Elephas maximus indicus: one gene and its partners. The main gene of each other region encodes a partner of the protein of the gene in region 2 in a complex. Links are inferred from orthologs where the notes say so. Each region holds a gene or a part of one and is shown on either strand. Other genes may lie near its edges.

Region 1 (7,873 bases), on a different chromosome or scaffold from region 2:
ATTCTTTCTGTTAATGCTTTCTTGCTACAATAACGTATCGATGAAAATAAAAATGGTTAAAACTACAGAATTCGTACCTTAAGCAACCCATCAATCCTAAAACATCAAAGAGATCTGAACTCTCACTTTTTATATTTGCATTCTCCCATGACAATCTTAGAAATTAGACAAAGCTCCATTTAGCCATAAATGGATAAGAGAAATGGCAACTTTCACTATCAAAAGGCATGCCCACAGTTAAAAGTAATACAAACTTCATTAAATGTCAAAAGATGAATTTGAGAACACCAATCATTTTAACACAAAATGCTCTCAGTAAATATAGACCTAACTTGACAAAAAAAAGAAAAAAATTGTTTAAGTCCTCTATCAAGACAAATAATTGTTCAGAAAAATCAGATTAAATTTCTCAGCCGCCGGTGATCCAGTAAGGCAAGATATTAAAAAGCTGTATTTATTAATGGTGGTGATTGCACAATATTGCAAATACAGTTAATGCCACCAAATTATATACTTAGAAATGGTTAAAATGACAAATTTGTTATGTGTATTTTACTACAATAAAATTTTTTTAAAATTTTAAACCTGTCTTTTAGAAACTTTTGACTGTACATTTAGAGCCACTGTTTTTTTATCAAGAAGGAAAGGCAGTTTGTACAGAGCTGATTAGCTGATGAAGAGACAAGGTTTTAAATATTTTTTTCTTAACTTTTTCTAAGTTTAAGCGTTTTTCTCATTTCTAAATTTGGTTATCAGAGGACTATACTACAACCATAGCAAAACTTGTGAAAATGAACACTTGCTAATAAAACCACAGAAATTACGTATCACTTGAAGCTCACACTCTTCTGTTAGGCCTCAAAAAGTATTTTGAAAATAGGCATGAAGTAGGGGAGCCAGGAGAGCCCATTTATTACCACTGCACCCAAAGAAATCTTTCTCCTTCCTGTTCCCCCACCATTACCCAAAGGAAAGACAACAAGGAAGTCATCGAAGCTGCGTTGCTCTCTACAAATTAACTTTGCCCTCTACAAACTAACTCAGCCAGAGTGTGAAAACAACTCCTGCCACACAAACTACACACAATGGACTTGAATATTCCTTTTGAAAACAGCCCTAATTTACAAGTTTCAAATTCAGAACATTTGGAAACAAGCCTAATAAAATGGTAAGCATATGTAACAAGTTAGCTATCCTAGAAAGTTTACAGGACAGTCAAAACTTATCATCTGGAATTTGTCAGATAATCACCCCGAGTACTCAAGAGAATAGAAGTCACACACTTCAAACACCTACATCTATGACAACAAAAGCTTGGATACGGACAATAAGACAAAATACGACCAACAAAAGAACATGAAACAATCAAAGCCACAAAACCCTGGGGATAAAGCTGTTCATTATGGCCCAAAAGGGTCATAATGGAAAAGACAGTCTTCCTTTCTCAGGCCCTTTCAGACTAAGAAGTTCTAAACAGGCCTAAATGTAGATGTTAAAAAAAAAAAAAAAGGTAAACAATTTTTTAAAATGCATTACGGAGCATGCATAAAATAAATAAAAGTATATATTTATTACATGCTTTAAATGATAGTTTTTAAACTGTAGGAATGACACAGATTAATAATTCTTCCAGAATATACTTTTTTCTTTGTCCTATGCAATCCTGAATGACATACGTTTATAAAAATGAATACAGGTTTCAACTCACATTGTTTCTCCAGTCTTGGCTACATGACAAAGAAACTGATCCAGGACAGGACAAACTTCCTTTTTCCCCCTCTTCTCAAAATCTAGATAAGAGAAGAAAGAAATGTTATTAGTATTTCCCAAAGTCCATCAACCATTCCCAACACCTTAATACAAACTTTCCTCCCAGTCCTTCCCCATACTAAGAAACAATAATAAAATAAAAATTAAAAACTCATCTTCTCAACCAAACAGCCACCTCTACCCTCCCAAGCTCCACTTCCAACATGTCACCCACTTCACTGGTATTCACTGCTAACAGGACGCCTCCAAAAGGGGGCACTCGACTTCTCCAAAAACTAGCCTGAATACAGTGTTTCCCAAAGTGGGGTCACGGGGAACACCAGCATCCGCCTCACCAGGGAATCCGGTTAAAATACAAACCTCCAGGCCCGACCCCATTAACTGTTTATCTAGGTGAAGTTCACAAGTCTACGTTGTAACGAACACCACCTACTCGACGGAGCCACCCCCAAACGATTCTGAATTGTCAAAACATAATTCTCAAATCCCTGAAACCATGATATTCCAAGTTTGGGAACCACTATTCTCAAGCCTGTTGCTTGGAAGGCGACCACCTTTTAGAATTAGGGCGCGTGCAAAGATGCCTCCAGAAGCCCTGAAAGGCTTCGTAAGACAACCTAAAAGTTGCTTTGCCAGCGCCGCCCCCCCACCTACCCTTTTACTTTTTCTCTCACCCCGATGCCCGGCATGCGGGAGCCTGACGGCGAACCGAGCCTGCCTGCGAGGGGCTACGACCTGTCCCCGCCGGGGTGGGAGAGGGGCTGGAGCCCCTCCGAGAGCTCCCCGACTCCCCTCCCCCAGCCCAGACGCCGGCGGCAGACACAAAGCCCAGAGCGGGGCGGGAGGGAGCTGCCCACAGGGCTCCCCGCCCCTGGGAGGTGGGAGGGGGAGGGGAGCCGGAGACGCGCCCTCCCGGGCCCGGGCCGCGGAGCCACCGGCCCGGAAAGGAGAAGAGAGAGGGCCGCAGAAGGAGGGGAGAAGGGAGAGGGGCAGCCACCCCCACCTTTCAGCGCCTCCTGCAGCCTCTCGACGTCCATGGCTTCCCGGAGTCCCTCGCAGCCTCCGCCTCCCGCCGCGGGTCTCCCCGAGACCGGAACGCCTCCCCCCACCCCCCCGACGCCCTCCCCCTCCCTCGCACACACTCCGGCACGCAGGCGACCGGGGGGGGCACCGAAGGGAGCCGGGGGAAGCGAGCGAGAGAGCGAGACCGACAGAGCGAACACCTCCCCGAGCCGCTACCACCAGCCCTCCAACATGGCGCCCGGCACGTCACCGCGCGCACGCTCCCCGCCGCCGTCCTCGCGCCCGCTGCGCGCCCCGAGCCGGGAGCCCGAGAGCGCGTGCGCGGCGGAGGCGTGCCGCCGGGCGGTCCCGTCGACCCGGCCTGGTGGCGGGCGCCGCATCCTCCGCCTGCGTGGTGCTCCTCGGCGGGCCCCCGCGGTACTGCAGACAGCACGGTAAAGGAGCGGGTTGGGAGCTGACTCGCAGGATTCGAGTACCCTAGCTAGCTGTGTAACCTTGAGCAATTTACTTCTCCTCTCTGAGCCTAATTTTCCCAATCTGTGCAATGAGGGGAAACCCTGGTGGTGTAGTGGCTAAATACTGCGGCTGCTAACCAAGAGGTCAGCAGTTCGAATCCGCCAGGCGCTCCTTGGAAACTCTATGGTGCAGTTCCACTCTGTCCTATAGGGTCGTTTGGTACAGTGAGGGCACTGGTTCCGACCACCCTATCTATGCAGTTTCTGTGAAAATTAAGGAAGAATGTGTACACACAGCGTTCAGAGTATGAATAAAAAGCACTCTGTATTACAGCTATTAATAGTGACAAGAATACCTCTGCCCCTGAACTCGACGTTCACTCGTCACTGACCCACCCGTGAAAAGAAGCAACGCATACAGCAAAGTGATTCAGAGCTCAAGCTTTGGAATCAGCTGAATTCAAATCCCACTCCACTACTTACTCCCTCTGTGGCCCTGGACAAGTTACAACTCACAGAGCCTCAGTTTCCTTGTCATAAAATGGGAATTGTAAAACAGGATTGAGGATTGCGTGAAACGGTGTGTATGAAGCACTACAGGACCTGGCACTTGGTGAGCACTTAGTTAACAAGGCTCCTGCTGTTTTTAGTATCATTGTGATTAAGATTACATTGCCTAGGCACCCAGGAAACTAAACAGGGGACTGCAGAATCCTTCTCCAGCGCTGACATTTAACAAACGGGAAAGCTGAGGCATACAGAGCAAGTCCGGCAAAACAGCAACTGAAACTGGGACATCTGGCTCCCAGCCTTTGTGTGGACATTTTTGTGCTCTTGTTATGTCCGTGAACTTTTAAAGGAAAAGGCACTGGACTGTTGCACCTTCTCTTCCCAAAGCCTAGCAGAATGTCATGAAAGAAAGGAAGAAAGAGAAGGCAGTTTCTGGGCTTGTCTTGTTGTTGTTAGATGCCGTGTCAAGTCAGATCCAACTCATAGCAACGCTGTGCACAGTAGAACGAAACACTGCTCTGTTCTGTGCCATCATCATAATCGTTGCTATGTTTGAGCCTATTGTTGCAACCACTGTGTCAATCCATCTCTTTGAGGGTCTTCCTCTTTTTCCCTGACCCTCAGCTTCACCAAGTGTGATGTCCTTCTCCAGGGACTGCTCCCTCCTGATAACATGTCCAAAGTACATGAGACAAAGTCTCTCTGTCATCACTTCTAAGGAGCATTCTGGCTGTACTTCTTCCAAGACAGATTGTTCATTCTTCTGGAGTCCACGGTATATTCAATATTCTTTGTCAACACCATAATTCAAAGGTATCAATTCTTTGGTCTTCCCTATTATTCATTATCCAACTTTCGCATGCATATGAGGCAGTTGACAACACTGTGGCTTGGGTCAGGGACACCTTAGTCCTTCCTCAACGTGACATCTTTGCTTTTTAACACTTTAAACAGGTCTTTTGCAGAAGATTTGCCCAGTGCTACACATCGTTTGATTTTTTGACTGCAGCTTCCATGGGCATTGATTGTGGACCCAAGTAAAATGAAATCTTTGACAACTTCAATCTTTTCTCCATTTATCATGATGCTGTTTATTGGTCCAGTTGTGAGGATTTTTGTTTTCTTTATGTTAAGGTGTAATCCATACTGAAGTCTGTAGTCTTTGATCTTTGGTTTGTCTTCCCAAACAAAACCAAACCCACTGCCATCAAGTCGATTTTGACTCATAGCAACCGCATAGGGTTTCCAACGCTATAAATCTCTATGAAAGTAAACTGCCTGTGGAGCTGCTGGTGGTTTCAAACCACTGACCTTTCAGTTAGTAGTCAATGGCTTCAACCATTATGTCACCAGAGTTCCTTTGGTTTGTCTTAGAAAGCACAAATTTGTATGCAGCCGTTACAACTGTTGACACTCTTAAAAGGTAGTGGCTGTGATTCTTACCCTAGGTTACAGATGCAGGCAAAAGTCTTCCACACCCAAAATACCTCTCTGGAGTGTTGTAGTTGGAAAACCAGTTCCCTTCCATTGTCTACAGCATTCAGCTCAATTACAAATAGCCTTGTAGGGGTGGCAATAGGGTGTCATCATCAAACACTTGGTCAGCACTTATGATGCACTAAATTTAGTTTTTCATGGCCCCTTCTAGTCTGAAAGGGCCTACTGTGCCTACATAAAAAGCCTGTCCTGCACTTCTGACACCCAGTCTTTTTTTTAGGCAGGTCACTTGCTATACAAAGGTCCCTGGGTGGCACAAGCAGTTTCCACTCAGTTACTATCTTAAAGGCTGGCAGGTTGAATTCAACAAATGATACCGCTGAAGAAAGGCCTGGTGATCTACTTCCATAAGGATTACAGCCAAGAAAACCTTATGGCTCTACTCTGCAACACGTGGGGTCACCATGAGTCGAAAATGAATCGACCCAACAGCAACAGGTTTGGTTTTGGTGTCTCAGTGTAAAAGCTGGCTGTGTAATACAGTTCCACTAACCTCATGTGACTGTTTAAATTCCAGTAAATTAAACAGGAGTAAAATTGAAAATTCAGTTCCTTAGTTACACTAGCCACATTTCAAGTGCTCAATAGCCTCGTGTGGCTAGTGGTTTTTGTATTGTGCCTTGCAGATACAGAAAACTCCATCCTTGCCCAAAGTTCTCTTAGACAGTGCTGTGTTGGAGGAACTCATTGTGCTAATTTCTTCCTCCTTGCTTTGTCCCTTTCATCAGTCATTCCCCTCACTTGGGCATGCCTTTCATTTCCAAACTGGATAAGGTCTGTGACAGGAAATAAAGTGGACACAGCAGTGACAGCCTAAGGGAATCAGGGAAAGCTTCCTGGAGGAAGTGGTGTTTAAGCTGAGACCATTGAATTATGAGAGGAAGGGAGCGAAGTGAAGTAGATAGGAGGAGAAGAGGAGCTATCAAACAAAAAACCAAGATGCCTTGAAATGAAAGAGAAGAGCCAGGTGCATTCTAAAGATACATAAGAAATTCAGTCTGACTTGAGCTGAGAATGCAAGGGGAAAAGAGGCAAAAGAGGAGACTGAACAATTATTTCCTTTGGTTCATTAGTTCTTTCTTCCTTGGATTTTTTTCCCTAGCTAGCATGTATCCCAATGTCAGTGATTCCTTAAGCCTCCTATTAGTACTAATTCCCGTGGAGGATAACAGCATACAAATGTGGTAGCCAACCTCCACAATGGCCCATCTTAGTTACCTATTGCTGCTGTAATGCAAATACTGCAAGTGGAGGCTTTAAAGAACAGAAATTAATTTTCTCACAGTTCTGTAGGCTAACAGTCCCATTCAGGGTCTCAGCCCTGTCGATTCCTTCCTTGTTGGTAGCCCCGGGCATTCCTTGGTTCTTGGTGATCCTCACATGCCATCTCTCTTCCTTAGTGTCATGGATTGAATTGTGTCCCCCCAAAATATGCATCAACTTGGTTAGCTCATGATTTTGTGTATTGTGTGGTTGTCCTCCATTTTGTGATTGTAATTTTATGTGAAAGAGGATTTGGGTGGGATCGTAACACCCTTACTAAGGTCCTGTCCTTGATCCAAGGTAAAGGGAATTTCCCTGGGGTGTGGCCTGCACCCCCTTTTATCTTACAAGAGGTAAAAGGAAAGGAAAGCAAGCAGAGAGTTGGGGACCTCATACCACCAAGAAAGCAGTGCTGGGAGCAGAGCGCATCCTTTGGACCTGGGGTCCCTGCGTGGAGAACCTCCTAGTCTGGAGGAAGATGAGTAGGCAGACAGAGGGAAAGCTTTCCCCTGGAGCTGACACACTGAATTTCGACTTCTAGCCTACTCAACTGTGAGAAAATAAGTTTCTCTTTATTAAAGCCATCCACTTGTGGTATTTCTGTTATAGCAGCCCTAGATGACTAAGACACTTAGTATGTGTTTGTTTCTGTGTCTAATCTACTCTTTTTATAACTCAGAAGTGGTTGGGTTTAGGACACTACCCTGGCGTGGCCTTATTAACAGAACATTAGGTTGCATTATGGAAGGTGTTTATATTACATCCACAAGTACAGGGGTTAGAATTCCCACACATATTTTGGAGGGTCACACAATTCAATCCATGACAGCCCCCAATGATCTTTGCCTCCTGAGATTCATTAGGAGGCCTGGTGGCACAACAGTTAAGCTCTTAGCTGCTAACCGAAAGGTTGGGGGTTCACACCCACCCAAGGCTCTCCGCAGGAGAAAGACCTAGTGATCTGCTTCTGTAAAGATTACAGCCAAAAAAAAAAAAAAAACCCAATGGGGGCAGTTGTACTCTGTCACATGGGGTTGCTATGAGTCAGAATTGACTTGATGGCAAACAACAACAACAATGCATTGTAGACTTCTCCCACACTGAATCAGAGCTGTCTGTGTGACCAAAAACAGTATAATGGCAGTGATGGCGTGACTTCTGAGACTAGGTCATACAGGGAACTGTGGCTTTTGCCTTGGGCTCTTTGATTGCTCACTCTGGGAAGCCAGCTTCCATGTCAAGAGAACATTAGAGCAACTGGGTGGAAAGGTACACCTAGAGAAGAACTAAGGCGGTGGAAGCAGACCTGCAGCCCCAGGAAATCCTTCAGATAACTGCAGCCCCAGTTGACTTCT
Region 2 (7,695 bases):
ACTATCATTTACCATTTCAACATGTTAATTACTGAGAAGTAAAGTATTCCAAATATAAAACGGGGCAATACCAAAGTAGGTTAAAAGCTGGATTATTCTCTAAGTAAACACCAAAAAAATACATGCTGTTAATTTATAGAGTTTTCTTTAAATAAATAAGTCAATGTGATGACAGCATGTTGTAATAGATCACCAAAAGAAAAGAAAAAACAACATCAAGAAAAAGGTCTAAGATCCAGAAATACTTTGAAATAATAGAATTATTTGAGAGAATGGCCTAAAATAAGCATGGTGGTATTCCGACTGAAGTAAGAAGAGACACTCAAGATGCCAATAGTTGTCTAAAGACTAAGAAGATGGAAGTCATAGAGTGGGATTTTTTTTTTTTTTTAAAGAATCATCCAGTAAATAACATGTGGCAGGAAACATGATCTATAAACCAGAAAGGAGAATAAGACACTTGCCAACACCTGAAACCAGCAAAGTAGACCTAAGCCAAGGAAACAAGGATGACCAATATCTTGGGAGGTAAATAACAACTAGTTTCCGAAATCTGAGTCTGAAAAACAAAAGTGAAGACTGATTTGTCAAAAGGGGGAAAAGCTTTGTACATGTAGAAAAGTTTTAAAGCAAATATACACAAAATGCCTTAAGAAAAGTTGTGTTTCCTAAGTATTTTCAGAGATAAGTTCATTAAGGTTCACCACATTAGCTTCTAAGAAGCTAAATCCACAAGAATGCAATTTTAAAAATAGTTGAGAGAAATCCCATAAATATTTGCAGTAATCATTTGCCTGAGAAAATTCTGTAGAACTTGTGAGAGTTTGAAACCTAAATAAGAGGAGGCTCAATTAACAAAAAGTCTCTTGGGCAAAGTTATAAAGATCATAAAAGTAAAAGTAATACAAATAGGATGCCCTGAGCAGCAAATTCCAACACTATGATATTTTGGGGTATTTTTTCTACATAGTAAATGGTATCTAATGGTCATAGCCTACAACAAGCTTAAAATTAATCACTGGATATTCTTGTCTCATTTAAACTCACTGAATCCTATGTGAGAACCACTAAAGCCAAAAAAAAAAAAAAAAAAAAAGAGATGAGAATCAACTCAAGCCATTAGTTATTTTAAAATGCTCTGCTCCCCCTCCTCCAAGCAGTATTCTATAAATCGGGTCTCTTATTTCAGTTCTCAAATTCATAAGTTCATACCTAAATCTAATTTATTCACAACATATTCAAGTGATTTGCATGCAAAAGTACTCTGTCAAAATGGTTAACCAAATCTGAACATCATCACAACATGACATCTCTGAAAGCATTCATCAATGCTGTCGGAAGAGCAGCCACTTCACAGAAAGCCTTTAGGAAATACCTGAGCAGGTAAACAGCCCTTTCAATATCACTGAGGTCTTCATCAACTGTCAGTCTTTCTATTTCTTCTGGTGTCTGTCAAATATAAAATACAAATTATGTACACAAACACTCAGGTCGATCTCGCCCGCCAATGACCCTCTGTGAACACCACCAATGAAAAAGTTTCACGATTCAGCATTATCAATGAAAACTAATCAAGGGTCTGAGGATTCTAGGAGACCTGAACAGAGAGAATCATGTCGCTAATTGTTGAGTTTGGGTGGTTGAGTTTGTTTTGGTTTTTTCTTTTTTTGTTTAATCACTCTTCTTCTAGCTTCTAGATCGCAGCTTGAGAATCACATCGTGCCTTCAGAACCTTGCAGAAATCCGGTGTTATATGCATATATTAAGTAAACACACAGTTTTTATTTTCAATAAGCCAAGGCTGTTTCTCCAGAATTTTCCAACCCAGGAAATGCTAAAAGGGGGATAGATGAAGACCGCAACGGAGTGGGTATGAAAAGGACGAAATCTGAGAGTGGGGGAAATCAGAGTCGAGAGAGGGAGGCAGGTGGGACTTAGAAGGGCTAAAGGGGCTCCGAAGCGGATGGCGGGGCCCGGGGGTCTGTAATCTCGGTTTGCCAGCAGCGAGGTCTACATCCTCCGAGGCTGAAGGAGATGACTCTGCGGGGTGGGGAGCAAGTGGGGGGTGGGGAGCAAGCTGAAGGGCTAGTCCCTCGAGGGGGGTGGGGAGCAGGGTCCCAAGTGGAGTTGAAGGGGCTGGGAGGAAACGGACGTACGGGGACTCAAAATGGGGCGACGGGTCCGCTCCTGAGAGAGCTTTGAAGACCGGGGCTGGGACGACTCTGGGAGGTGACTGGAGGCCCGGGCGGACTTGGGGCAAGCGGGACCCGAGCTGGCTCCGACAGGGGAGAAGGTCCGCGATGGAGGTGGGGATCGGGTGCCTCGAGGAGGGGTCGGAGGAGGGGGCGTCGGGGCTGTGCCGACTGAAGGACGGGCCCGGGGCCAGAGCCCGGCAGCACGGGGGCCAAGGCGGCCCCGGGACAGGCGGGAGGAAGGGGCAGCGACCCGGGCCGAGGCTGCGGTCGGAGCGGGGCGCCCCGGGCGGACGCGGGGCTGGCTCCCCCGGTCCTGGGGCCAGGCTAGGCCGGGGACGAGGGCTGGGGACCCCGTAGGGGCCGGGACCAAGGCCAGGGCCCCGTTCCTCGGGAAGAGGTCCAGCCTGGGAGAGCCGGGGCCGTGTCGAGGGGTCCCCCGGAGGGGCCGGTGCGGGCGACAAAGCGGCCGGGAGGAGTTGGGCTGTGAGAGGGTCCCGGGCCACGTCGGGTCGGGACGGTGCCGGGGGGCTTCGGCGGCGGGGCGGGGGTCAGAGCCGGCTGCTGGGGGCTGGGGGCCGGGGGCCGGGAAGGCGGCCGGGCGCCCTGCGGGCAGCCTCTCCTCCCCGGGGCGCACCTTGAGGCTCCGGCGGACCGGCCTCTCGATGATAGTGAGCTCCTGCAGGTCCTCCATGTAGCCGAACAGGCTGTTCTGACTGAAATCCATCGCGGCGGCAGGCGGCGGCGGATGCATGGACGGCCGGGCCCCCTCGCCGCCCGGGCCGGAGCGGCCCCGGGATGCCGGACGCGCGCAGCCCCGCGGCCGCCCAGTAGCAGCACTTTCTCCCGCTCTCCGCCGCGGGAGCCGAGCGTGAGGCTAGCCGCCGGCGGGAGAAGGAGCGCGACCGGCCGAGGGGGCGGGGCAGGCCAGCGAGGGGGCGGGGCGCGGGGCGGGGCGGAGCCAAGGGCGGGGAAGCCTCAACAGTGCCCGCCTCGGCCCCGCCCCCCCCAAGGCGCCGCGCACAAGGGGGCTGGACGCAACTGCCGCGCAACGTCGCGGCGGCCACCACCACCCTCTGCGCTCGCCCCTCTTCGCCCACCTCTCCGCTAGCCCCGCCCCGACTGAGCGCGCACCCGCCGGCAGCGCATGCGCAGAGCCCTCCGCCTGCCACGGCCGGCTGTGTCGGGCTGGGGGGCGGGGACGGGGGCAGGGAGGCTAAGCCTTTGAGAGGGGAAGCAATGGAGAGGGGGGATCGGGTCTCGGAGTGCTGATGGATGGTGCAGCGGTTAAAAACTCAGGCTGCCAACCTAAAATAAAGGTCGGCTTCCCGAATCTACCAGCCGCTCCATGAAGAGCGTATGGTGCAGTTCCTATAGGGTCGCTGTGAGTCTGAATCGGTTGGTGTTTGAGTTTTTTTTTAACCTTGCTCTTGTCTTTATAAACGCCCACCCCCGCTGGCGCGCTCCGGACGCAGAGACCACCCAAGCGCACCTCTAGCCCTGAGGAGGAGCAAATAAGCACCTCTTTTTTTTTTTTTAGTGCGTGCACGCCTGAGTGTTCGGGGAGAGGTGTATGGGAATACAATTCTGGAGGGGGCTCAGCTTGGGAGGACGGCGTTCAGAAAAGGCCTCCTGAGGGAGAGACACTTAGACTGATCTTAAAAGATCAAAAAGGCTTTACCGAGAGAAAGAAATAAAAGAGGCCCTTTGGGGCAGAGGGACCTGCTCGGCAGAGGCACAGTGGCTTAGAGCCTGGGCGTGTTTCGGTTGTGGGAAATGCAGTCGGAGTAGAGTTTGGGGTGCGGGGGGAGCGGGTGCTTGGTAAGGTAGGTGGAAGAGGAAGCAAGTTCTTTAGGTAGAAAAGCCCTGCTGTTGGCAGCCGCGTTACGTCGCTTGCACTTGCTCCTGCGGAGAACTGGTTCTCTGAAGAATGGGAAGCGTGGCAGGGGTGTTAGGGCGGTTTTCTGAACCTCGGGGGCAAGAGTTGTGCTCGTCATACTCTTTAATTGTCGTTCTTTCTCCACACTGCCATTCCTCTGCCCCATGTGCACCCTCTCTCATAGGTTTAGTTCTGTCCCAGCACGTGTATAAAACCCCTTGCTGTCGAGTGGATTCGGATTCAGCGATCCTACAGGACAGAGTAGAACTGCCCCATAGAGTTTCCAAGGAGCGCCTGGTGAATTCGAACTGCCGACCTTTTGGTTACCAGCTGTAGTACTTAACCACTACACCACCAGCATTTCCAGCACATGTACAGATCCTTGAAAGATACTGATGTTTTTAGTTTATGCATCAATTTTTAATAACACGAATGGTATTGTGCTAAAAAATTCATTGTTTTTCCAAAAACATAATGTTTTAGGGGTCTATCCATGTGGCTAGATATACTAAAAAAAGGAGTTCATTAATTCTGTCCACAAATCGTATTAGATTTGTGTCTAATAAAATTTACTTTTACTTTACTTTGTTGTTGTTGTTAGTTGCCATCTAGTCGATTCCTACTCTGCAAATAGTTAAATGCTGGACTATTAACGGAAAGGTTGAAGGTTCAAACCCACCCAGAGGGGGCCCGGAAGACAGGCTTGGCAATCTGCTCCTGAAAGGTGACGGATTGCGCACCAGGATTGCCATGAGTTACTTTTACTTTTTCTGTCTTCAAATGATGAACAGCTAGGTGGACCCAGCAGCTCCTTGCTACCACAGGTAATGCGGATACGACTGTTACACACGTCCCTTTATGGGCCTACGAGAAAGAAATAGGATCGTTGGGTCACGGAGTCTGTGCTTCACTCTGCCTGCTTGCTCTCCAGAATGGCTTTGCCAGTTTACACGCCCATCAGTCGCGTGTGAAGGTAGGAAAATTCCTGTTTCCCCACTTACATGCTAACATGTGGTCTTAATTTCTATCAGCCTGATATCAATAAAGTAGAATTACATTTTGGTTTTTCATTTTTATTTCTTTGATGATTGGTGATGTTACCCATTTTTCCATATTAAGAACCATTCTGGTTTTTTCTTCTGTGAATTACTTATTTGCATTCTTTGCCTATTTTCCTGCCAGATTTCCTATTATTTTTCTGAATGAATTGAAGGAGTTTCTTTCATATTCTAAATATGAATCCCTTGTCAGTCTTTGGTGTTGCAGACATCACCCAGTCTTTCATGCATCCTGTTAGTTTGGTCTTTGGTGTTCTACAATGAAGGGGAAATCCTTAATTTTGATGTAGCCAAATGCATCCAATTTCAGCCTTGTAGTGTATGCTTTTGGATTTTGCTTAAGACTTTTTCCCTTCCCAAGGTCACCAAAATATTCTCCTACATTTTTTTCTATTTGGCTTTATAATTTCACCTTTCACAGTTAGGTCTTAATCCACCTGGAGCTCACCTTGTATCACTTTGCATTTATTACAGTGAGCAGAAGGAGTCAGCTTTGTTTTCTCCACACAGTGAGCCAGTTTCCCCAGCAGCACCTACCAACAATCCATTTTTTCCCCACGGATGTGTGACGGGGCCCTGATGGTGCAGTGGCTAAGAGCTTGGCTGCAAACCAAAAGGTCAGCAGTTTGAATCCACCAGCTGCACCTTGGAAACCCTATGGGGCAGTTCTACTCTGTCCTGTAGGTTCCCTATGAGTCAGAATCAACTGAATGGCAACAGGTTAGTAAGCAAAGAAGATGTGTGACAGTGTCTCTGTTATATGCCAAGTCCCCAAGGACACATGAGTCTGTTTCTGGGCTCTCATTGCTTCTCTCTTGATCTAGATCAGTTTCTGTGCCAGTATGGCACTGGTTTTATTGCTATGGCTTTGTTATATGTCTTAATACCTGGTGGGTACCTAACACCCCACTCTTTACTCATTTTTTTTTTCAATATCGTCTGTGTAGTTCCAAGCAAAAGTCAGTGGTAACCCACCGCTGAATTTCAAGTTTTCTGATTCCCTAGTCCGCTATCGAAGTTGTCCAGGATTTCATTTTACTTGGATCCACAATCAATGCCCGTGGAAGCAGCAGTCAAGAAATCAAATGATGTAGTGTTTTGGGCAAATCTGCTCCAAGAGACCTCTCTAAAGTGTTTTGTTCTGTTTTGCATAGGATCGCTATGAGTCATAATTGATTTGATGGCACCTAACAATGACAAAAGTCCACTAAAAATGGAGCAGTGGTGATTTAGTGGTAGAATTTTCACCTCGCATATTGGAGACCTGGGTTCAATTCCTGGCCAATGCACCTCAAGCGCAGCAATCACCCATCTGTCAGTGGAGGCTTGCTTGTTGCTATGACGCTAAACAGGCTTTAGCAGAGATTTCCAGACTAAGATAGACTAGGAAGAAAGGCCTGGTGATCTCCTTCTGGAAATAAGTCAGTGAAAACTCTGTGGATCACAGTGGTTCAGTCCACAACCAATCATTGAGATAGCGAAGGACCAGGCAGCATTTCATTCTGTTGTGCACGGAGTCACCGTGAATTGGGGGATGACTGGACAGCAGCTAACAGCAACAAGAGCTCACTAAGGAGAAAAGTGGAGGGGAAAATAGAAGAGGGAGGAAATGTGCAAGGACAGGATGGAAAAGAAGCAGAGATGAGGAGAGGTGGTTTTCCTTGGCAAATTACCTTGTAGCCACCCTTCTTTGTCACTTCCTGAAGTTCTCTTCCTTTTCCCCTTAATTGTAACTGACACTAAATATTACTTCTGGCTAAGAAATCTTATCTTAGGGTTTTGTAACAGTATCATTGTCATCTGAGACTTGATGACATTCTTAACGAACAATTGATGGAGTGCTCCGGCATAGCTTTGATGTTTGCTCTTCCAGGGCAGGAGGCTGATGAAGGGAAAATGTTCAACTCGATGACCAGAATCTGTAACTGGTACAGTTACCACCCCATGGTGGAAGAAGCCCTCCCCAGTCTGGCTGCCAGGAAACCTGAGTCCTAGTCCTGGCGGTGCCACTGGAATAAGGTGTAATCTGGAGCCCTGTTTTCCTTATCTGAACTGTTTTCGAACGTGTTGTCTCCCTGTGCCCTCGGGGCAGCCCTGTGAGGTACACAGACATGCCTCACTATTCCAGTATCACACATGAACACCCAGCTAAGGGAAGCTTTAACCACTGCACCACCAGGGCTCCTTTAAAGCTACAGGGATATTGGTAATTTGTTACAGCAGCAGTGGGAAACTAATACAATTATTTGTGATAAAATACTTAAATTTGATTTTTACCTCAGACCATACCCAAAAATCAATTTCAGGTGAATAAAAGGCCTAAATGTGAAAGGAAAATCTTTCAAACTTTTGGAAGAAAATATGGGAGAATATCTCTGTGACATCTAAAGAGGGAAAAAATTCTTAAAAAGCAGAAGCTATAAAATTAAAAAGTCGACAAATCTAACCTTTAAAATGAAGAACTTGTATTCATAAAAAGACACCAATAAATGACGAGATGGACCACAGACTGAGAAAAGATATTTATGACAAATTAATCAAATAAAGATTATTGTCCAGGATCAAG
Region 3 (7,951 bases), about 2.6 Mb from region 2:
TGATATTGATCTTCTCTACTGTTTCTTTCCACAGATGTAGTCAGTTTGATTACTGTGTATTCCATCTGGTGAGGACTATCATTTATGTTGTTGAAAAAAGGTATTTCCAATGAATAGGTTGTTGGTCTTGCAAAATTCTATCACACAATCTCCAGCATCGTTCCTATCACCAAGGCCGTATTTTCCAACTTCCACATTCCAAGCGCCAATAATTATCAATGCATCTTATTTGCTTGTTTGATAAATTTCAGACTGCAGAAGTTGGTAAATATCTTCAATTTCCTCATCTTTGGCATCAGTGGTTCATGTGTAAATTTGAACAATAGTTGTATTAACTGGTCTTCCTTGTAGGCAAATGGATATTATCCTATCACTGATAGCACTGTACTTCAGGATAGATCTAGAAATGTTCTTTTTAGCGATGAGTGTGACATTGTTCCTCTTCAATTTGTTAGTCCCAGCATAGTAAACCATATGACTGTCTGAATCAAAATGGCCAACACCAGTCCATTTCAGCTCACTAATGCCTAGGATATCTATCCTCGAGTGTTCCATTTCATTTTTGACAACTTCCAATTTTCCTAGATTCATACTTTGTACATTCTGTGTTCCAATTATTAATGGATGTTTGCAACTGTTTCTTTTCATTTTGAGTCATGCCACATTGGCAAATGAAGGTCCCAAAAGCTTTACTCTATCCACATCATTAAGGTTGACTCTACTTTGAGGAGGTAGCTCCTCCCAGTCAAGTTTTAAGTGCCTTCCGGCACTGTATCAGTGTTCTGCCGCTATTCTTTAGATTCTCACTGGCCAATTGTTTTTAGAAGTTTATCATCAGGTCTGTCTTCCTAGTCTGTCTGTCTGGAAGCTCTGCCAAAACCTGTCCACTATGGGTGACCCTGCAGTATCTGAAATATCAGTGGCATAGCTTCCAGCAACACAGAAGCCACCACAGTACAACAAACTGACAAATGAGTGGTGGGGGACTCCCATATAGCCCCCATTATCTTCACTGTCTTACACAGAGGTCATCTTCATGGAAGGCGCATTCTGGAGTCAAGCAGTGCATGACCCAGCAGCCCCGCTCCTCCTCTTTCCAGGACTTTTAAAGCAGGCAACACTATAAAATGATGAATGCAATGTGGATAAAGGTATGTAACACAGAATAGGTACAAATATCATGTAATGAATAGGCTCCATTGTATATTTTACAAGTTTATGTTATGCATGTAGGTGAAGGTACAAAGGCTCAGTGGAAACTTTTATGTTGAGAGCAGAGAAGGAATCAGTTACTTATTGAATCCTTAGAACAAACCTAGACATTATTCCTGTTCCTATTTTACAGGTGAGGAAACAGGTACAGAGAGGTTACCAAAAAAAACCCAAACTCACTGCCGTCGAGTCAATTCCGACTCATGGTGACCCTATAGGACAGAGTACAACTGCCCCATAGAGTTTCCAATGAGCGCCTGGCGGATTCAAACTGCTGACCTCTTGGTTAGCAGCCATAGCACTTAACCGCTACGCCACCAGGGTTTCCACGGAGAGGTTAAGCAACTAGTAAATGTCAAACAACTAACAGGCAGGACTTGGACTCATAATCCATCAGCCACAGCCTTGACCACAATGACAATGTATCTCCACCTTTTGTGATTGGCAACATGCTTTATTGAACTCCCTTGGAAATTTTCTCAATTCTATCACCATTTGTGGATGGTACAGCATTAAAAAGTGATTAAACTTTATTTATTTATTTGGGACAGGGAGTATTTAATATAAAGACCTATTACCTATAGCAGGGGATTGGAGGAAGGAGGGTTGGCTAGTAGGAAGTAAAGAGAACTCTGAAGAATGTTATTGTTGCTGTTGTTGGCTGTTGAGTCGGCTCCTGACTCGTGGTGACCCTAAGCACAAAGGAATTGGACCATTGCGACCCACAGGGTTTTCACTGGCTGATTTTTCAGAAGTAGGTCACCAGACCTTTCTTCCTAGTCTGTCTTAGTCTGAAAGCTCCACTGAAACCCGTCCAACATCTTAGCAACACACAAGACTCCACTGACAGACGGCTGGTAGCTGCACATAAGGTACCTTGGCCGGGTATCGAACCAAAAGTGGTTAAACTTTAAAAGTATTTACTGTCATTTAAGATTGTACTAAAATTTCATTCAAATAGATTGTATATGATTTGTAACTTAAAACAGAATTTTAACTTTTTTCGATTTAATAATTCTTGCAGTTTAACTTAAAAGGAATTTATTTAAAAAGTATCATTTTTCCCACAAATAAATTTACTGGTATCATAACCATTGCTGTCAAGTCAATTCCGATGCATAGTGACCCTATAGGACAGAGTAGAACCTCCACATAGGGTTTCCAAGGCTGTAATCTTTATGGAAGCACACTGTCACATCTTTCTCTCAAAGAGTGGCTGGTGAGTTTGAACTGCTGATCTTTTGGTTAGTAGCTGAGTACTTTAACTACTGCACATCCAGGTCTCCTTTATTGATGTCATGCCAAAACGAAAACCAAACCTGTTGCTGTCCAGTCAATTCAGACTCATAGTGACCCTATAGGACAGAGCGGGATGGCCCTACAGGGTTTCCAAGGGAAGGCTGATGGATTCAAACTGCTAACCTTTTGGTTAAGCAGACTGAGTTCTTAACCACTGCACTGCCAGGGCTCCATTGACAAAACTGCTCTCATGCCCTAATACTTGAAATCATGGCATTTTATTCTTTTAAGTAAAAGCATCCAGTTTTATTTTTAAATGATGAAGGTTTTGGGCTACTCTTTGCAAGCACTTCCATGCACCTGACATTGTGGAGGAGAAACGGTGCCACTTTCTGATTTTTAAATCTGCCAAGGCCAGCATCCCATGAAAACCCCTCAAACCCGGTAAATCTCTCAGCCTCGGGCACACCTGGCTGATTGGTCCTGCTCTCAGGGCCTCTCTGCATAGAAGGATATAATACAAACTACAGGACAGGGTCACTGCAAGATTCATGGTAATGCTAAGCACCTGAATTTGAAATGTGGCTGCTGCAACTGACGAACCAAATTTATTTTACTTAATTTTAATTAAAATTTAAATTTAAGAACTGATACTTAATTCAACTTTTGGAAATATTTTTGTTTGAACCAACTTGAGTTTGTGAATCTACTTTCTCAATTGTAAATTTAATGAAATTTAAATGTACATCAGAAGTTTCTATGAAAATTCTAGCATTTGAATAGAAATTTGCTCTAAGGTTAAAATACACATCGGATTTTGAAGACTTAATAGGAAAATAAATGTGAAATACCTTAATTTCTTATTGATTACACGTTAAGAAAACATTAAAAAGTATGGCATTAAATAAAATACATTATTAAACTAATTTTATCTGTTTTCTTTTTTTTTTTTTAAAGTGGCTACTAGAAAATTTTAAATTACATACGGCTCGCATTCTATTTCTATTGGACAGCACTGACATAGATGGTTTGCCAAACAGAAAAAGCCCTAAAATAAAATAGTGGCTATTATTTGCGTGAGATAAGAAAAACAATGTTATTCCTTTGTGAAGATTAACACTGCTTGACGTCAAGCAGGTGCTCCAAAAACAGTATTAGCTAGAAAATACTGGTTCTGATAAAGGAAGAGAAATGAAGGTCGCAGGTGGAATGTAAAATCAGGTTTTTGAATTGTCACTTGGCGCTTAGTTCTAGGCCCAGAAAACTTAAAGCTGTCCCGTTAGTGGCCTCGCCACGGAAGTGGGTGCCCCACGGCAGCTCCCAAGACTCGCGGTGGCCTCGCGGCCCAAACCTGTGGCCTTTCTCAGAAGCTTTTCAATTGCATCGCAAAGCGGAATAGCCTGGAGTCCCGAGCCTCCCGAACTCCGCGCCCGAGGGCGTCTGGAGCGCCTCGTCCAGCCACGAAGGCGGCCTGGATGGGGACACTCTAGGCGGCTGGTGCGCCGCGGGCAGAGCCACGGCCCCGAAACGCCCGGCGCCGGGAAGACAGGAGCAGCCGCGAAGGCGCCAGGGGAATCTGAAGCCCGAGAAGCCGAGAGCATGACGGCCTGAGACCGGGCCCAGCGACCCCAGTCGGAGGCGGGCCCACGCCCCTTTCGAACGCCCGAGCGGGGCTGATGACGAAAACAGGGCGCGACGGACGCACACACCGCCCCGCGCTCGCACGACGGTGCGCGCTGGGAAGCGCGAGGGTGTCCCGGGCCGTCACCTGCGCGACCAGCCTTCCGCCTCGCCCACGCTCTGAGCTCCCGCCACCTCGGCAACTCGGAGCCCGCCTCGTCCGAGGCCTCCGCGGAAGCGAGGCGCCAGGCCTCGCTTCTGTCTCTTTAAATGGTGGGGCCAACGGGCCGCCCCTGCAGCTGCTGCCTGGGAGGCCCCGCGCGCGCCTATTGAGGGACGAACCAAGATGGCGGCGGCATTGGCTCTGTGAGGAAGACGGAAGAGGCGGTGGCAGCGGCGTAGAGGAAGGGACTCCCAACAGCCAGGAGCGCTCGGGCGGCCGGGGGTCTCGGAGTCTCCTGATCAGCGGCAACAGTAGCAGCAGAAGCAGGCGGCCGTCGGTTTCGGACATTTGAAGAAGGGAGGGCGGTGCGGAGCCACCGGCTACGGTGGCAGGGTCAGGTATAAGGAAGGAAAACATGGCGGCGGCAGCCTGAGTAGGCGGCGGCGGCGGCGGCGGCGCGGGAAGCGACTTCGGGGAGCTCATGGCGGAGGCTGGGGCAGCGCAGTGACTGGCGCCCCGAGTTCCTACCGCGGGCGGCGGAAGGACGCGGAGCGCTGCGCGCCTTCTCGGGGCGGCCGGGCGGCCGGGCTCGCCGTGCCTGGACAATAGCGCCGAGGAGCCGCAGGCGAGGGAAGGCGGCGGCCCAGAGCTCGGGCCCGAAGGCGGGCCATGCGGGCGGCGGCGCGGCCCCGCGGCGGCCAGCGGCGGCAGTGAGGCCGGGGAGACCTTCGCTCGGCGGCGCCCTCCCGCCTCGGCTCCCGCCTTCCCCGGGCCCCTGCTCGGGCGACTCCGGCGGGGCGCCCGCCCCAGGCCCTGGGCGGCACGATGACCGACACCCGGCGGCGGGTGAAGGTTTACACGCTGAACGAGGACCGGCAGTGGGACGACCGAGGCACCGGGCATGTGTCGTCCGGCTACGTGGAGCGGCTGAAGGGCATGTCCCTGCTTGTCAGGGCCGAGAGTGACGGTGAGTGGAGCCCCTCGCGGCGGGACTCTGGTCGCCTCCACGGTTGTCGGGGGGCAGGGGCGCCCTTCGGACAGGATCGGAGGGGTCCCCGGCTGGGCTGCGGGGGCGCGGTGCCCAGCCGCCAGGGAGCTCCACGGAGAGCGCGCGAGTGTCTGCTTCTCCGAGTGCCTGGGGCATGTGGGTGGGAGGGGAGCCGAGCACGTCCGAGCTGCGCCGCCCGGGAGCGGGGAGAGGTCGGGGCCGGGGGAGCGCGGGGTGTGCGGCTCTTCCGCACCCGTGGGGTGACCTTGAGAAAGGCACCGCTGCGTCCGATCTTCCGCCTTAGTTCACCCATCTGTAAAGCAGCGAGATGACACTTTGTTGGAGCTAGGAAAGTTCTTCGCCAACTCACTCTGAAGAGCTTTTTACCCTGCACATGCTCTCCTTGTTTCCTTTTAATATCTCTCTGCTGCCTGTTTCTGATCCTGTTGCAGGTTGACAACAATGGTTCATGGATCTGGCGGCTACACTCGGCAGGGAAAATGCGCTTCTTTGCCCGGAGAAGATAGACTTGTGTTACTCAGTACTGCTTGCCTTTTTCAAAGTAGCAATGCCGACTTTTGTGGGTCGTTTTCATCTGTAAACATCTTGCAAAATTGGAATCATTCTATGCGAGCTTTTTTGGTTCCTTAAATATATGTTTATATTTTGGTTCAGGTAACAGGTGGGGAGAAGTTGGCAGATGTTTTTAAAATCGTTTAAGATCTGCCCTTGTGCCTCAGGCTTCACATAAACCCTTCACATTTTTTGTAACAGCCCTCCAGGTTCATAGACCACGTGGTGTCAAAAGTAACAGTGTTTCAGATTTATAAAGACTTGCTCCTTGTAAGGATTCCCACTTCTCTCAGTGCATACTGTGAATTACACTTAAAAGAATATAACCATCTCAGGGGAAACTGTTTTCACGTTGTTTCTTACCGGTTTGGAAGTAGTTTTATTTCACCTTTCTTGTTACTTTGCAGTCTAATTTTCCAGTAGCTTTTTCAGTTTATTATGGTTACAGTCGTTGGTCACATATCTGAATTATTACAAATTCATTTCAAGGAATTTTCCATTGGACACTCTAACCAGAGCTTCAGTTACACAAAAAACAAAATTCTAGGGATATTGACGTTCAGTTTGAACTGAAAAGTGGTACAATGGTAATTTGGAGTAAATTGTCTATGGGCTACCCAAATTAGCTTTAAACTGGAGAAAAATAATTTCTTTTTGGAGGCATTTTTAAGATTTTGAATATATTGGATTTATTTTTTTGAGACCTATCTGTCTCGTGAAATAATATGTTTGACTGTCAGGTGTTAGTGTTCTATTGTGTAGGACTATCACATAATAATCAGCTATCCTACAAGTCTGGATGTTTGGCAGAACTTTTTACTTAGTGAGTTGGAAAGGTTCAGTTAACTTCTTTTGAGATGACAGCATGTGGATCTTTGAAATCTCAAACGTAAAACCTTAATTCACATCATGTATTTAAACTTGACTTAATACAAATGAGTCTTTTGTTTAAAGTATTTTTAAACATTAAAGCATAATGTCATACTATCAAGAGGAATCATACGCTTCTAACATGGTAATTTAGGACTCTGTTTTTTTCCCAATTTTGATTTTTACCACTTTAGCAGTAGTCCCTAACGTCTTTCCCTCTCTTTGGAGGGAAAGTTGAATGACTAAAACAAATGGCTTCAGTTTTTATCTAACAGATAAAGAGAGCTAAACTAAATTACTGGTATGCTCTTGTTAAATTTGAGTTGTAAAGAAAACTGAATCCAAAGAGTGGGCTTAGAAAAATCCCAGGAAACTTGTGAAATAGTGTAGGAAACACTTTTAGTTTAATGATTAACATTTTTTCTAATAGGAAAATTCCAAATATGAATAATAATCGTTAAAATTTACCAAATGCCCACCATGTGCCAGGGATTCTTTTGGGACTTTTCTTGTAAATTCTCACAGCACCCCTCTGAATCTGAAATAGATACTATTAATAATTGTTTTTGTTAGTTGTAGTCAGATAAGCTCCAACTTATGTGTAACAGAACAAAATATAGTGCAAAAAAAGAGGTAGGTACTATTATTGCCATGTTTTACAGATGAGGAAAGTGAGGCTCAAAGGGCTAAGTAACTTGCTTAAGATCACATAGCCAGGTCAGTGTTAAGATCTTGCTTAAGATCTTTGCAGCTAGGGTCTGTGTTGAGGCAGGGAGACTATAATAATGCTGTCTCAAATGGAGTCTCGGTTCTTGTTAGAAGAGCTTGACACCTAACAATCAGAGAGGCAATTTCTGAATGGAAGTACTTGTGGCCCCCGTATTACAGGGCAGATCAGTCTTGGGGTTAGTATGTGCATCCCCTCAGTTGCTGAGTGCCTTAGTAGGTATATGGCCCACCTGCTTTGGAGGGGAGGGATGTCTGACTGAGCTATGGAGTGCATTTCTGGATCACAGCCTTATTCACTAGGTTCCTCATGGCAGTATTTGTTGTGGGAACATGTTTTCTTTAAATGTTCTTGTTTTGTACTGTCAAGTTGATTCCGATTCAGTGACCGTATAGGACAGAGTAGAACTGCCCCAAAGGGTTTCCTAGATGGTAATCTTTATGGGAGCAGATCATCAGGCCTTTTCTCCTACAGGGTGGCTGGTGGCTTTGAGCTTCTGAGCTTTCGGTTAGCAGCCCAGCACTTAACCATTGTGCCACCAGGGCTCCTTCTTAATGAA

What was found.
Region 1: PPP4R4 (region 2) and PPP4R2 share a complex: the UniProt entries of both Homo sapiens proteins name them as parts of the PP4 complex. The link is inferred for Elephas maximus indicus from reciprocal best matches to the Homo sapiens genes PPP4R4 and PPP4R2.
Region 3: PPP4R4 (region 2) and PPP4R3A share a complex: the UniProt entries of both Homo sapiens proteins name them as parts of the PP4 complex. The link is inferred for Elephas maximus indicus from reciprocal best matches to the Homo sapiens genes PPP4R4 and PPP4R3A.

The regions. Positions count from the first base shown.
Region 1 is NC_064838.1:20,592,603-20,600,475, reverse strand, and holds the start of PPP4R2 (serine/threonine-protein phosphatase 4 regulatory subunit 2), read right to left. Parts: upstream 3,036-7,873; 5' UTR 2,808-3,035; coding exon 2,774-2,807; intron 1,791-2,773; coding exon 1,709-1,790; intron 1-1,708. UniProt on the Homo sapiens protein: Regulatory subunit of serine/threonine-protein phosphatase 4 (PP4). May regulate the activity of PPP4C at centrosomal microtubule organizing centers.
Region 2 is NC_064828.1:107,733,684-107,741,378, reverse strand, and holds the start of PPP4R4 (serine/threonine-protein phosphatase 4 regulatory subunit 4), read right to left. Parts: upstream 3,070-7,695; 5' UTR 2,947-3,069; coding exon 2,830-2,946; intron 1,450-2,829; coding exon 1,376-1,449; intron 1-1,375. UniProt on the Homo sapiens protein: Putative regulatory subunit of serine/threonine-protein phosphatase 4.
Region 3 is NC_064828.1:105,165,001-105,172,951, reverse strand, and holds the start of PPP4R3A (serine/threonine-protein phosphatase 4 regulatory subunit 3A), read left to right. Parts: upstream 1-4,933; 5' UTR 4,934-5,059; coding exon 5,060-5,201; intron 5,202-7,951. UniProt on the Homo sapiens protein: Regulatory subunit of serine/threonine-protein phosphatase 4. May regulate the activity of PPP4C at centrosomal microtubule organizing centers.